4 linked regions of the Schizosaccharomyces pombe genome follow. The protein of the gene in region 3 binds, or shares a complex with, the protein of the main gene of each other region. Each region holds a gene or a part of one and is shown on either strand. Other genes may lie near its edges. The genes, in order: mrpl19, rtc6, mrpl51 and mrpl23.

Region 1 (2,974 bases), on a different chromosome or scaffold from region 3:
AATAAAGAGAGATGGCACTTATTTGATTGCTTTCAAAACAAGTTCTATTTAACAAGTTACTTATATATAACGGAAAGCCAAAAATAAACCGTTTACTAGTAAAGAAACCTTTCTGAATGCTCCTATTATTAAAACGCTTTTAGGCTTGAGTGACATATTCATAGTGAAATTTACGCTCAAATATCTTCATTGAAAGTTTATTCTACTGAATATGCTTAAGTGTAAGTATTTGGTCCTTTAAATTGAAGATAATTATATATGAGCCACATAAATATTATTCTCATGTTAGAAAAAAAAATTCTTGCTTTATTTATTTGAGTATTTCCATATGCTAAAACACTCTGTATCATAAAGTCGTCTTCAGCATTCTCACTTCAAAAACTTGTATCCTTTTCAATACTCCATAATTAATAATAAAATAAAGGAACAAAATAACAATAAAATCGTTCATTATTCATTCTTTATCGCTTGAATTTCCTTCCCATGTAGGCTCCCCTTTTAACCTCTTTACACGTTTATTTTCGTACTCCTCGTTCTGTAGATTCAACTGATCTAATAAGATCCTCTATAACAGGTGGTTAATAAAAAAGGAACTGGTGAATGTAAATTCACGAAAAGCAAATGCACTTTGCAGCTGGTTGCCAAAACTTAAATATTGTAAAACAAGATCAGCACTTTACTTACATAATATTCTTCATTAACGTCGACCTTTCTTCTTCTTTTAATAATGTCTAACTCTGCATCCCGGGACAAGGATTTAACTTGTTCATCTCGTCTGTTAAATTTGACTTGGGAAATGGGGATCAAGCATGACCAGACTAATAATACTGAGCTCAAAAACGGCAATCCAACGTAAATAAACGGACTTTTCTTGGCTTGAAGCCTATACCAACTTTTAAATCGATAGAAAAGCATTTTAATTTATTAACATCCTTACATTCGCTGAAAACGATGGATTGTTAAGAATGTGTAGTAAATAGCAAGTTGGTTAAGATGATTATGGCAAACTTCACTCAGCATGTTAGGATGGAAATTAATAAGATAGTCGTTGGTTTGTAATAATTAATTTTAAGAGTAGAGTTTTAATAGAAATCTGCACTTTGAAATCTTTTTATTTCTACTAATTATTCAAGCTGCATCGCGTGACAGCATTCCTACATAGCCCAAGCACTTCAGGTGAAAACCCTTTATAGTTTTAATTACAATACACATTAGGAAAAAGAAACATATCGATGGCATGTGCTAGTGACAGACTGTGACTTCCAGTAAACATGTGTTTTACTTTGTTTACCATAAAATGGTATGTAAAATGTTTATTGAAAGTAATAAAATAGCTGAGAAAAGACCATTTAATTTCAGCTTGTGATTCAAATGAAATAATCATGCTTTTTAGTTAGGATATTTGCCAATCCCTAAAAACTTAATATATTAATTGATAGTAAGGAGTTAACTTTGAAAAGCTATGTAGCTAAATTTTGGTTTGCTTCTTTTAAACGGCTTCAATTCAGCGCTATTGTTGTTCAACAAATGAAAAATTTTGCGACATTTTAACTAATCCGTATTTGAGATTCAAAAATCAACTAAAATTTTTCAAAAAAATCCTAAAACGAACAACGTTTATGAAAACGTCTTTTCCATTTATCTGAGTTGCCTATTTAATGTCAATACTTTTACTTCTATTCAATCAAGCAGAAGAGAAGGACACATTTGGTCTATTCGGGAATTTTTCTGACTGCTATTAAAAGCTTTAATATTACAAATAAGTAAACACATTACAATTAATTCACCCAAATATTTCAAATTAGTTATTATTCTAATTACAATTATTTTTAAGGAAGAACATGTTACTTTATTGCATGAGAGACATACAACTTACAACTGTATTTTCTTCTTTAACCTTATGGCTTCTACTAGAACGACAATCATAAAATTAATTGTACCGGCAGGAAAAGCTACGCCTACGCCTCCAATTGGACCTGCCCTTGGTGCTCGCGGGTTGAAGAGCATAGACTTTTGTAAAGAATTTAATGCGCGGACGGCAGGTTGGATGCCAAATACCCCAGTGCCTTGTAAAATTACTGTCACACCTCAAAGAACATTTACTTTCACTATACATACTCCTCCAACCAGTTGGTTAATCTCTAAAACCCTCGACCTTGAAAAAGGTTCAAGTTCCCCATTACATGATATAAAGGGACAATTAAGCTTGAAGCATATATATGAAATTGCCAAATTGAAAAGTACTGATCCAAGCTTACAAGGAATAGAGCTTCTTTCTCTTTGTAAAAGTGTCATTGGAACAGCTAAAAGCATGGGCGTCAAAGTCGTACCTTAATCTTATGAGACGCCAGAGCATTTTGTAACTGGTCATACTTGAGGTTATTTTTTTTTCTATCTTGTTATAAACTATTCCCCTCTTTTTTCTTGAATAAAAGCAGTTAATGATATGACTTTTTACTATTACCGACTAAAACGTTGTCCCTGTTTTCTTATTTTCTCCTTTTCTTAGTTGTTTTATATTATTCCTTCGTTAAACAAGCAAAGTAAAAAAACACGTTTGCCATATAAAATTAAAGAATTGCATACCGTTAGTTTACAAACACATCTTAGACTAAATGATTACCTTTAGCATTAAACTATCAATATAGATAACGAAACAGATATGCTAAGCAGAAAAGAAAATGAAGATTTTCAAGTGTGAGTTTTATGTTTACTCTAAGTCACGCCTTATGAAATGCAGCTCAATAAAAGAGAGCCTCAAACTCTGTCTATCTATCAAAAAATAAGAAAAAAAAAACCAAGATTAGTACTGCAGAAACGCTCGAAAATAAAAGAAATGGCTTATGCTATAGGGAGGCATAATTGATGCTTGGCTTGAATAACAGCATCACGATCACCAGTATTTTTCATGATATCGTCACTAATCTTCACTGCTTTAGTTCCTTCAGCGGAAAAAAGCTTAATAACAATATTC
Region 2 (2,809 bases), 180 kb from region 3:
CCATAAGTCTTCGTAAATTAGAAAATTCATAGTTGGAAGCAGATCTTGGTGAACGAAAGACAAAACGTCGTAAAACAGCGTCTCCTAGACAAAATGCACTATGATGTGTGCCTGGAAAGGTTATAAGCAGTTCATCCTGTTTAAGGACTGTTGAATAAGTAACAATACCATTTTGTACTAGAGTTGAAGGGGGAAACAAAATATTCTGGTGAAGCAAAAAATCTGAACAACGCCAATGCTCATCTTGCGCAAGCTTTCCAGCTAATTTTTTAAAAGACTCACTATGTGCTGAAGGTATCACATACCATTGCAATGAAGAGCCACCTAAATGTACCTGAACTGCATGCAGCTCAGGAGATTCTACCCGCCAAGGAAGGGTAGTTTTCCATTTCCCAGCAAATAAGTGACCAACATTTGGCCAAGTGTTAATCAATGTATTCGATCTTAAATGTACCCTATCTTTTTGAGCAGCAGATATCGAAGGTATAAAATAGAAGGGGATCGATGGGCGATTAGTATATCCATACCACAGACTGTCATGGGTCAAAGAACGCCAATAATATGCAATAGCTTTAGCCACATTGTTTTCAAAGTCATTAGAACTTCCAGCGTTTGAAGGAAACCTGTCGTCGACATTCATATCGGTAGGCTTTTTAGGACCAGCCGAGCCATGGTCTATATCGCTTTGAATCTCGAAGTACTCTCCTTTCCGTCTCACCATTCGCTCTAACCATAAATCCATTTTTACATCGGAAGGTTTCATTGTATCTTCGTTCCAAGGATTTAAAACAGAACTAGGACGAACAACTTTAATTGCGCCGTATTTCTTGCCAAGCCTTTCAACGCGCCGAATAAAACTTTCCATATCTACAAATTCTGAAATTTTCTAAACAAATTTTGTTAACATCCACAAAATATTTAATATTTTTCGCGTAAACTTACTGGTTCCACAACAGGTATGCCATCTGACCCTTCGATATGATAATCGATTTCACACTCCAAAGAACTCACTGATGTGTCACTTTTGCCAGCATGTTTCTCTTTAACATTTTGCTGCATAGCAATCTATTTTTCAGCCTTTGGATTGAATATTTTGGTGTTTTTGAGACATCCACCAATTCGTGGGATTTGCTAAATTTTCCTTTAACAATCTTTTACCAAGGCAAATGACGCATCTGCACTCCAGTTCCATACCCAAATTAGCAAAGTATAACGAACTCGTTATACCAGCAACTAAAAACATAAACAAATTCTCAAAAATTGATCATTTCAAATTAATCGATTAGCATGCCAAACCAAATAACGTAGAATCAAAGTTATTAGATGATGCGGTCAATTAGCTATTTTAGGGACTAAGAAGGTCAGAGACTCAACATTAAAATTTTCATTTGTAAACAAAAAATGGAGCTACACTGTTGAGTTGACTCCACTTTAATAAAAGTATTCCTTATTTTAAAATAATGTGATAAATTTCAGGTCAAATTGCTCCACAGTAAGCTGGCTATTGAATTTATAGAATAACAAGACATGTTGGTTGTCACTAACTGACATGTCGTAGGTTAGCTTACTAGAAGCACTAACTACTATTTATTTTCCCAACAAAGAATATCCAACAAATCGGGCGTAAGCGAGTTTATATAACTTAGTATTCACCTTTTTTTTTTATGAAAATCTTCTCTTGTTGATAGGCATTTTCTATTATCGTTCTTTTTTGGCTCAGTCCAAATTGTGAACACTTTTCCATCGTACATCATTTATTTAGCTCAGAATTACTTCGGATCCAAAAAAATTTAAACATCTTGACTTGAAGTCCCAGTTTCACTTTTTTTTTAACTTATAATGGCTTCATTAGGTCGTAAATTTTTTGCTGTGGGTGTTTTGTCACGAGTCTTCCCTTCTGCTTTTAATGCACAAAAAGGGTTGTTAAAAAATGCATCTATGTTCTTAACCCCTGCTTTCAGACTTTCTCCTAGCCTTCTACCTTGGAACTTTTCAAGAGGTTTCAAAGTGAAAGCATCAGTAAAAAAGCGTTGTTCATCCTGCTATTTTGTGCGTCGCAAAGGTAGGTTGTATGTACTATGCAAAAAACATCCGAGACATAAAACCCGTCAAGGTTAATGACTATAACCGGTTTCGCTTCTTCTTTTTTTTTCTACCTAGGCTAATTCTTCATTACGCTCACTTCATATTACGACGATTTTTGGACTACCTACCAAATCCTTACTCCCTTCTCTCTCGTTAATGCGTAGTCATTAAATGTGATATTATTGTTGACATTATAGCTTCATGCTAAAGAATTCATAAAAACATACGTAATCTTAAATGATATGCTTTCGCATCTTAGTCGATTTTTTTCAAAGCCTCAGTAAGCCTTTCTATACTTTTCTCATTATCAGTAATAACACCTTGATTTTTCTGGATACGCGTCGTTAAGTAATGAGCACGATCCTTCACACCTGATTCAAGGTTCCCAAGGTCCTTTAGCATTTGTAGCTCCTGTTCATCATTCTTGATAGCATTGTTAGCCATGCCAATTAACGCGTTACATCTCACCAACTGCATATTAGCACTTAATACTGGATCATTTACAAGTTGCCGGAAAGCCGTAACATATACAGGTTTTCCAGCGTAGACTTTATCCGGTCTTGCATTCACTGTGGTAATAGTAATCAATTCTGATTCTTCCAAGGCACGAACGGCATCGTCGTGTCCTTTGAACAGTGGGTCAAGCATCAACATATGATAGGGTATATATTCATGTTGAGATAAATAAGTAATTAAGGTCCATGACTCTTCTGGAGTGAACGTT
Region 3 (3,079 bases):
AGGACCATCTAGCAAATCTGGGTTATAATTAGCCAGAGAAGTATGAGATTGGTTAGGAGAAGTGAAAGGAATTTTTTGAAAAGATAGATTAGAGTCGGACTTGGCAAACCAAATTCTTGACATTTTGTATATGATGGAAGGAAGTTCTTCCTGAAACAGGGAGACCAGTTGCACCTCGATTTCTCTTTGTAAAAAGCGAGCAATAGCAGGAATAGAATCAAAGGAGGAAGATACACGCACGGATTCTAAAGGATCGTTTCGAAATACCACAGTGATACCTTTCTGCTTTGAAAACACCAAAACAACTATTCCGTTAAGCTTTAAGTCGGAAAGTCGTAAAAACATAGGCACAGTAAGCGGTGCACGAGATGCTAACATTGTATTACGAGAACTAAAACTGGGAACATTACTTTTTTGCACCGATAATGGATTGGCACGAATTTTTGTTTGCAAGACCAAAGAAGCATCACCCGAATAATGGAGATTAAAGAGGCCCTGAAAGCGGTCTGGCGCTAAGTCGCCAACCTCTAAAATTTCCAGTTGAGGAGGTTGGGGACCCAAATCCAACTCTTTTACAGTGATGTGGTCTGCAATCATCGAGTGTTTAGTGCCTTTGTTTAAAGCAGCCGTAAGCAAAGTGGTTGCTCGCTCATAGAATGACTCAGAGAACTGATCACTCCATCCCTTTACACGAAACGACATTCTGTTGATTTTCCTAAGTTATCTACATCAACTATGAAAAATGTCAAATTTTTTTGTAAGGAACCGTCTAGTATAGACTAAGTAACTAACGCTTTAGATCAATTTCTTTACAAAATTTTTATTAAATTCGGATAGGGAAACGACAACTTCCATACAGTGGCGGACAGTAAATAAACATCGATAGGCTGGCTGATGCACTAGTGCGGCATACTGAACCTTGATATAGCCAAGATAAGGATAGGGTCGATCGTACTGTATATGAACGAAGGTGTATTAGAATGCATTAAATAAATTATTACAAAATGCACAGTAGTTTCTTATGCTATACTGGTGAAATATATTTTCTTGCTATTCTGTTCATTTAGGAGGGATAAATAAAGCTTCATGAAATGAAATTCCTTAGATATTCAAATCAGAAATTCAGCCATTATTTTAGAAATGATATTAGTGGTGTTGCTTACTGTATTAATTTGCTATGTTGACAAATATCTAGGCTGAAGAACTTCGAGTACAAGAACCGATACAACTTTGCTCTTTCAGAAAAGGATATCTCTGCATAAATGAATGATATTAAATCAAAATTGTTCGTTTTAAAAAACCTATATTATGTTTGTTCGCAGTCCATGTACTACGTTAAAAAATCACTGTAAACTTTCTAGATATCATTATTTAGAGAAGAGCAGAAAGGTAAAGTATTGCAAAGTGTGTAACCAGAAACTGTAGGTAGACAGTAAACTTGATTTTGTTGCTAAAATTTTTTATAAAACTAATTGCATACTAAGTTTAACATTCTAAATCAATTGGAACAAGTATTGAAGTTTAGAGCAATTTGGGATTTGCGAATTTCCACACACCCCTTTACGTCTCCATACCGACTTTTCATTATTTCTGCAAGGATTTGCTCACCCAACTTTTTTCAATATAGCATATTAAGAATTCTGGTTTTTAAAAGACGGTATCCCCTTTTTTACGGCCTTTTACTCACTTAATGATGATTGAAATCATTCCTAAAATTTCAATTCCCAAAAATGGACTAGGTTCATTTACCCGCCCAGTAAGATTTAATCAGCTTTCTTTTTTTTTAAAAAAAAAAAAAAAAAAAAGATTGGCCTTCATTAACTTCGTATTACTAATTTTCTTTTTAGTGCCGTCGAATTGAGTTTTCGTATTGTAATTGGGGTGGAAGCTCAAAAGGCATGAAAGAATTTTTATCCACAAAGCTTGAGTCTTTGGCCAAAGAATCTCAAGATGTGGAATTTCATGTTACAAACCGCCAAGGCAAGCATCCATTAATCCGAGCTTATTACAGTACGTCCAAGACTTTTCTCTTATTATGGTGATCCTCTTAGTTTTATAAATATGAACTCCTTAAAATAGTGTTTTTTACTAATGCTACGATAATAGATACTGGTCGAGAGAAGGTCATTTGTACAAGGAAAATGTCAGCGTCTTCAATATTTCAAAAAGCAATTCTATGCAGAGATAGTGATGGTTTGAAACCTCGCCTCATAAAATATCCTGTTGAGTCAACAAACCCATCCGTTCGTGGTATTTGGAGTCCATTTTCCGATCAAGCAAAGCCCCATGAAATTTATAAGAAAAAGTCCCCTTAGATTCCTCTACAAACTACTTATTATTTCATACAAAAAAAAGAAAATTCAATTTAATCATTTTCGTTATGTTATTATGTCTAACCTTTTTGTCCGAAATACAAAACCCTATCCAAATTTATCTTCCCATAAATACTCTAGTTAACCAGGTAGTAAGTGTACAGATGTATCAAATCCCTTCTTTTTCAATATCAGGAATATGCAACGTCCCTTTTAAGCTTTTTAAAGAAACAGAACAGCCATAGCAAACATTTTGATTCTTAATACCTTCAACGGAATCCGGATGTTCAACCGTAGTTTTTTGTAACCAAGTCTCAGCATCTTCTTGCATTGGTAGATTACAGATGGTACATATGGCTTCTGTAGAAGGCACATGCAATTTTGAGCTCATTTTGACAACGGTGCTAACCAGACTTGGGAATGTATCATTCAGCGATGAGAAATATGATTCTGTAACGCCATGAATAGTATTAGGACGTGCTTCAATTAAGCTATCGCAGAAAGCTAATCCCTTAATGTTCATATACGACTTGAGGTCTGAAGACAAAACTTCACGTAGGGGACGTAGTAGGAAAGTATCGCAATTTGGAAGCTTAGAGCAGACAGAAGTGTACCATGGTATCGCAAAACCTCGACCCTCTGCCACAAGTTCAAGAACTCTTGCAGCAATTGTAGTACCGCTATCACCAAAAACAATGGTATCACAATTTGCCTTCCGGGCATAGGATACTAAAAGCTTATCCCGAATTCGGTAAAGTAAATCTTGA
Region 4 (2,884 bases), 2.5 Mb from region 3:
AGCAAACGAATCTTAAGTAATATCTTAGCATATGACATATAGTGATACGCAACGTACTGTATCATAGCTAGTGTAGTTCTGCTAACATTAACATGTACTTCTTTGTTTGTATTATGCATATAGCATTAACCGCGTTAAGCTAAGTTAACGTTACGAAGAGCGTACAGAAGAGATTCAGTTTAGTAACTGCGAATTGTTAATTGTTCTCATAACTTAGCCTACATCTAGTGTAAGACGACGATTGTGAAAATTCACCTTAAAAAATTCAACAAGTCTTGCAAATTATGACTTGAATAATTTTCCATTAAGAAGAATAAGCACACAATGTTTTTTGATGACAAGATAACTTGACATTCTGCCATTCATGCGGTTTCATACACATCAATTAATTTAGTGCATAAATACAATATAACAAGTTATTAAATTTTAGAAGAAGAATGAAAAAGCAATTCCTTGTACGTAAAAACTCGTCAAATTCTCGCTACCTTCGTCGAGATTGCGTTATATGTTTACAAAAAGATGGTCTTCGGGCACAGCTATCTCCATGTGGGCATGACCAGTTCGATTATTCTTGCATATGTCGCTGGATGGATCAATCCTTGACATGTCCCATCTGTAAGAGACACGTAGATTGTGTGTTTTATGGATTTCATGGGTCAAGTTTGTATAAGAAGTGGTATACTCAATCTTTGGGGTCAAATCAGTATTCGATTTCACGACAATTACTACGGCAGCCTTCATTTTCCTCCAGCGAAAACACTGACAGATTGGCCGATTTGCTACGCGTACGACGTTTCATCTATCAAAAGGCATGGAAAAGCTATGAAAATCCCTCGCTTTCATCACATAGGCAATATCAAATACCCACTCCTATCCAACTAGCTTCTAGCGCATCTTTATTAAAGAAAGTGGAAAGCTTTATTGCTAAAGAACTTCTCTTGTTTGAATATTTAGATGGACATCAAATTAACTTTATACAAATCTTTTTGATGGGTCTCTTACGAGTTCAGAATATTCAACATCCACAAACCATTGATGAATTAGCGGAATTTATAGGCCATGAAGAGTCCTCTATACTCCTCCATGAATTGCAAAGATATTTACAATTCCGTCCATTGTCGATAAGCAGCTACTTGTATAGCAAGCGATATTTGTATGGTCCGGAAGGCTTAACAATGGTTCAGCTGTTGAGTCAAATTGAAAACATTCAGCATGAATCTGGTCCTGAGACGGAAAATTCGTAATCAAGCGTTAATTGTATATTATTGCAATTTACTGTGATTCTTTGGGCTTATCAAAAATTAGTTTTATCATTGTATCGTTCATTGCCTTATTTTTTCTAATATATACAAATGGTATTTTTTGAAGCAATAGCTATTAGCTTTATCATGATTAGTAAAGGAGGTTCGTATTATGAATTGAAAAATCAATATTTAAGAAATAATAAATAAAACAACATTTTTGAAAAATAGAAATTTTGTAGGTAACAGTTACCTTACTACAGTTGCTTAGCATCCAATATTTACCCACACCTACAAGCTTGAGGAAACATTATTTGAGCAATTTTCCTACTTCTCTTTTATTAGAAACCACTGATATTGTACTGTCGCTTTAAGAGAAAAATCAGAAGGAACTGAGGATTTTATGATATAGAAATCTCAACGCGATGTCAACGTTGAATGGACAAGTATGAAATTAGTTTGACAGTTTCTTTTACTAACAATATCAGACAGCATTGGCTTACGCCAAAGTTTGGCATCATGTTTCTGCAAAAAATGTTCCTCTAGGTAGGCTGGCTTCCCAAATTGCAACTACTCTTATGGGCAAGCACAAACCCATTTATCACCCTGCAGCAGACTGTGGAGATGTCGTAGTAGTCACTGACTGTTCTGAAATTGGGATTTCTGGTCGAAAACTCGAAAATCATAAATATTATTCACATTCGGGTCAGCCTGGTCATCTTAAAGAGTGGACGATGGAAGAAATGGCTGCGAAACGGGGGCACAAGGATTTGTTGAGAAGAGCAGTTGGTGGAATGCTTCCAAGAAATAAGCTTTGGGATAGGAGAATGAAACGTCTTTATATTTACGATGGAGCTGAACACCCTTATAAGGCAAACATATTTCGTTCCTACCATAATCCTGTAAGTTCGCAAATTGCGAAGGAATTATTCTCGAAATAAGTGTTTAAAATCTCCTTTAATTTTAAAAGGTAGTTCAAAGAACAAAAGCCATATCCCTACTCACTTAAATTTCATTGATTTTTTGCATTAATGTTTGAACATTCCACAATGTCGTATGCCCTAAAAAGCTAACACATTTTAATATTGTTCTTTCCAAAAAAAATTATTTTATATAAATTAATGTTATTGTATTCACTATAAGAAGCTGTAATGTATTTAAAGACACATTTACGTTTGTGAACTGGTAAGAATGAATGTCTGGTAACCATAAGAGGACTACAACTTTTCTTGCGAGTAAAAAGTAGATAACATGAGACGTCGACATAAATAACGACATTTGGAAATTATCTCCAAAGCCAGATAAACGCGCTAAAAAGTACCCTATCGTTGTGAAGAGCAAACAAATTCAACAAACGTCAACCTAAAACCTTGCTTAGCAAAGGCCATATAAAGTAATAAAATCAAGAGCCATTAACTTAGGGAGAAGATTTTACACTTCTTATTAAACATATCTACGCTTTACATTTTAAAAGAAAAGATAGCCAATAAGGAAGAAAATCAGGCAAAGAATGATAACAATATTGGGAGGAATTCCTGGAGATTCGGTTAAAGAAGCACCAGTGGAACTCGAAGGGTCAGCTGAATAAGAGGGCTTGATTTGTTCCAAGGCGTTGTCGGAACTATGAGCACCTGCAGCAGGTT

The links.
Region 1: mrpl51 (region 3) and mrpl19 share a complex: the UniProt entries of both Schizosaccharomyces pombe proteins name them as parts of the mitochondrial large ribosomal subunit.
Region 2: mrpl51 (region 3) and rtc6 share a complex: the UniProt entries of both Schizosaccharomyces pombe proteins name them as parts of the mitochondrial large ribosomal subunit.
Region 4: mrpl51 (region 3) and mrpl23 share a complex: the UniProt entries of both Schizosaccharomyces pombe proteins name them as parts of the mitochondrial large ribosomal subunit.

The regions. Positions count from the first base shown.
Region 1 is NC_003424.3:3,205,461-3,208,434, reverse strand, and holds mrpl19 (mitochondrial 54S ribosomal protein uL11m), read left to right. Parts: upstream 1-1,894; 5' UTR 1,895-1,900; coding exon 1,901-2,335; 3' UTR 2,336-2,473; downstream 2,474-2,974. Other genes in the region: cytochrome c oxidase assembly protein Cox16, read right to left, coding at 455-565, 685-915; npt1 (nicotinate phosphoribosyltransferase), read right to left, coding at 2,842-2,974. UniProt on the Schizosaccharomyces pombe protein: Component of the mitochondrial ribosome (mitoribosome), a dedicated translation machinery responsible for the synthesis of mitochondrial genome-encoded proteins, including at least some of the essential transmembrane subunits of the mitochondrial respiratory chain.
Region 2 is NC_003423.3:1,519,521-1,522,329, reverse strand, and holds rtc6 (mitochondrial 54S ribosomal protein bL36m), read left to right. Parts: upstream 1-1,839; coding exon 1,840-2,118; 3' UTR 2,119-2,300; downstream 2,301-2,809. Other genes in the region: Lid2 complex histone demethylase H3-K36 subunit Jmj3, read right to left, coding at 1-886, 943-1,059; RNA-binding protein Yme2, read right to left, coding at 2,341-2,809. UniProt on the Schizosaccharomyces pombe protein: Component of the mitochondrial ribosome (mitoribosome), a dedicated translation machinery responsible for the synthesis of mitochondrial genome-encoded proteins, including at least some of the essential transmembrane subunits of the mitochondrial respiratory chain.
Region 3 is NC_003423.3:1,698,392-1,701,470, forward strand, and holds mrpl51 (mitochondrial 54S ribosomal protein mL43), read left to right. Parts: upstream 1-1,541; 5' UTR 1,542-1,690; coding exon 1,691-1,756; exon of another isoform or gene 1,757-1,847; coding exon 1,848-2,010; exon of another isoform or gene 2,011-2,106; coding exon 2,107-2,315; 3' UTR 2,316-2,481; downstream 2,482-3,079. Other genes in the region: protein Mdm34, read right to left, coding at 1-702; cytosolic thiouridylase subunit Ctu2, read right to left, coding at 2,482-3,079. UniProt on the Schizosaccharomyces pombe protein: Component of the mitochondrial ribosome (mitoribosome), a dedicated translation machinery responsible for the synthesis of mitochondrial genome-encoded proteins, including at least some of the essential transmembrane subunits of the mitochondrial respiratory chain.
Region 4 is NC_003423.3:4,218,237-4,221,120, forward strand, and holds mrpl23 (mitochondrial 54S ribosomal protein uL13m), read left to right. Parts: upstream 1-1,536; 5' UTR 1,537-1,666; coding exon 1,667-1,687; intron 1,688-1,729; coding exon 1,730-2,182; 3' UTR 2,183-2,380; downstream 2,381-2,884. Other genes in the region: mrz1 (ubiquitin-protein ligase E3), read left to right, coding at 438-1,244; scs2 (VAP family protein), read right to left, coding at 2,709-2,884. UniProt on the Schizosaccharomyces pombe protein: Component of the mitochondrial ribosome (mitoribosome), a dedicated translation machinery responsible for the synthesis of mitochondrial genome-encoded proteins, including at least some of the essential transmembrane subunits of the mitochondrial respiratory chain.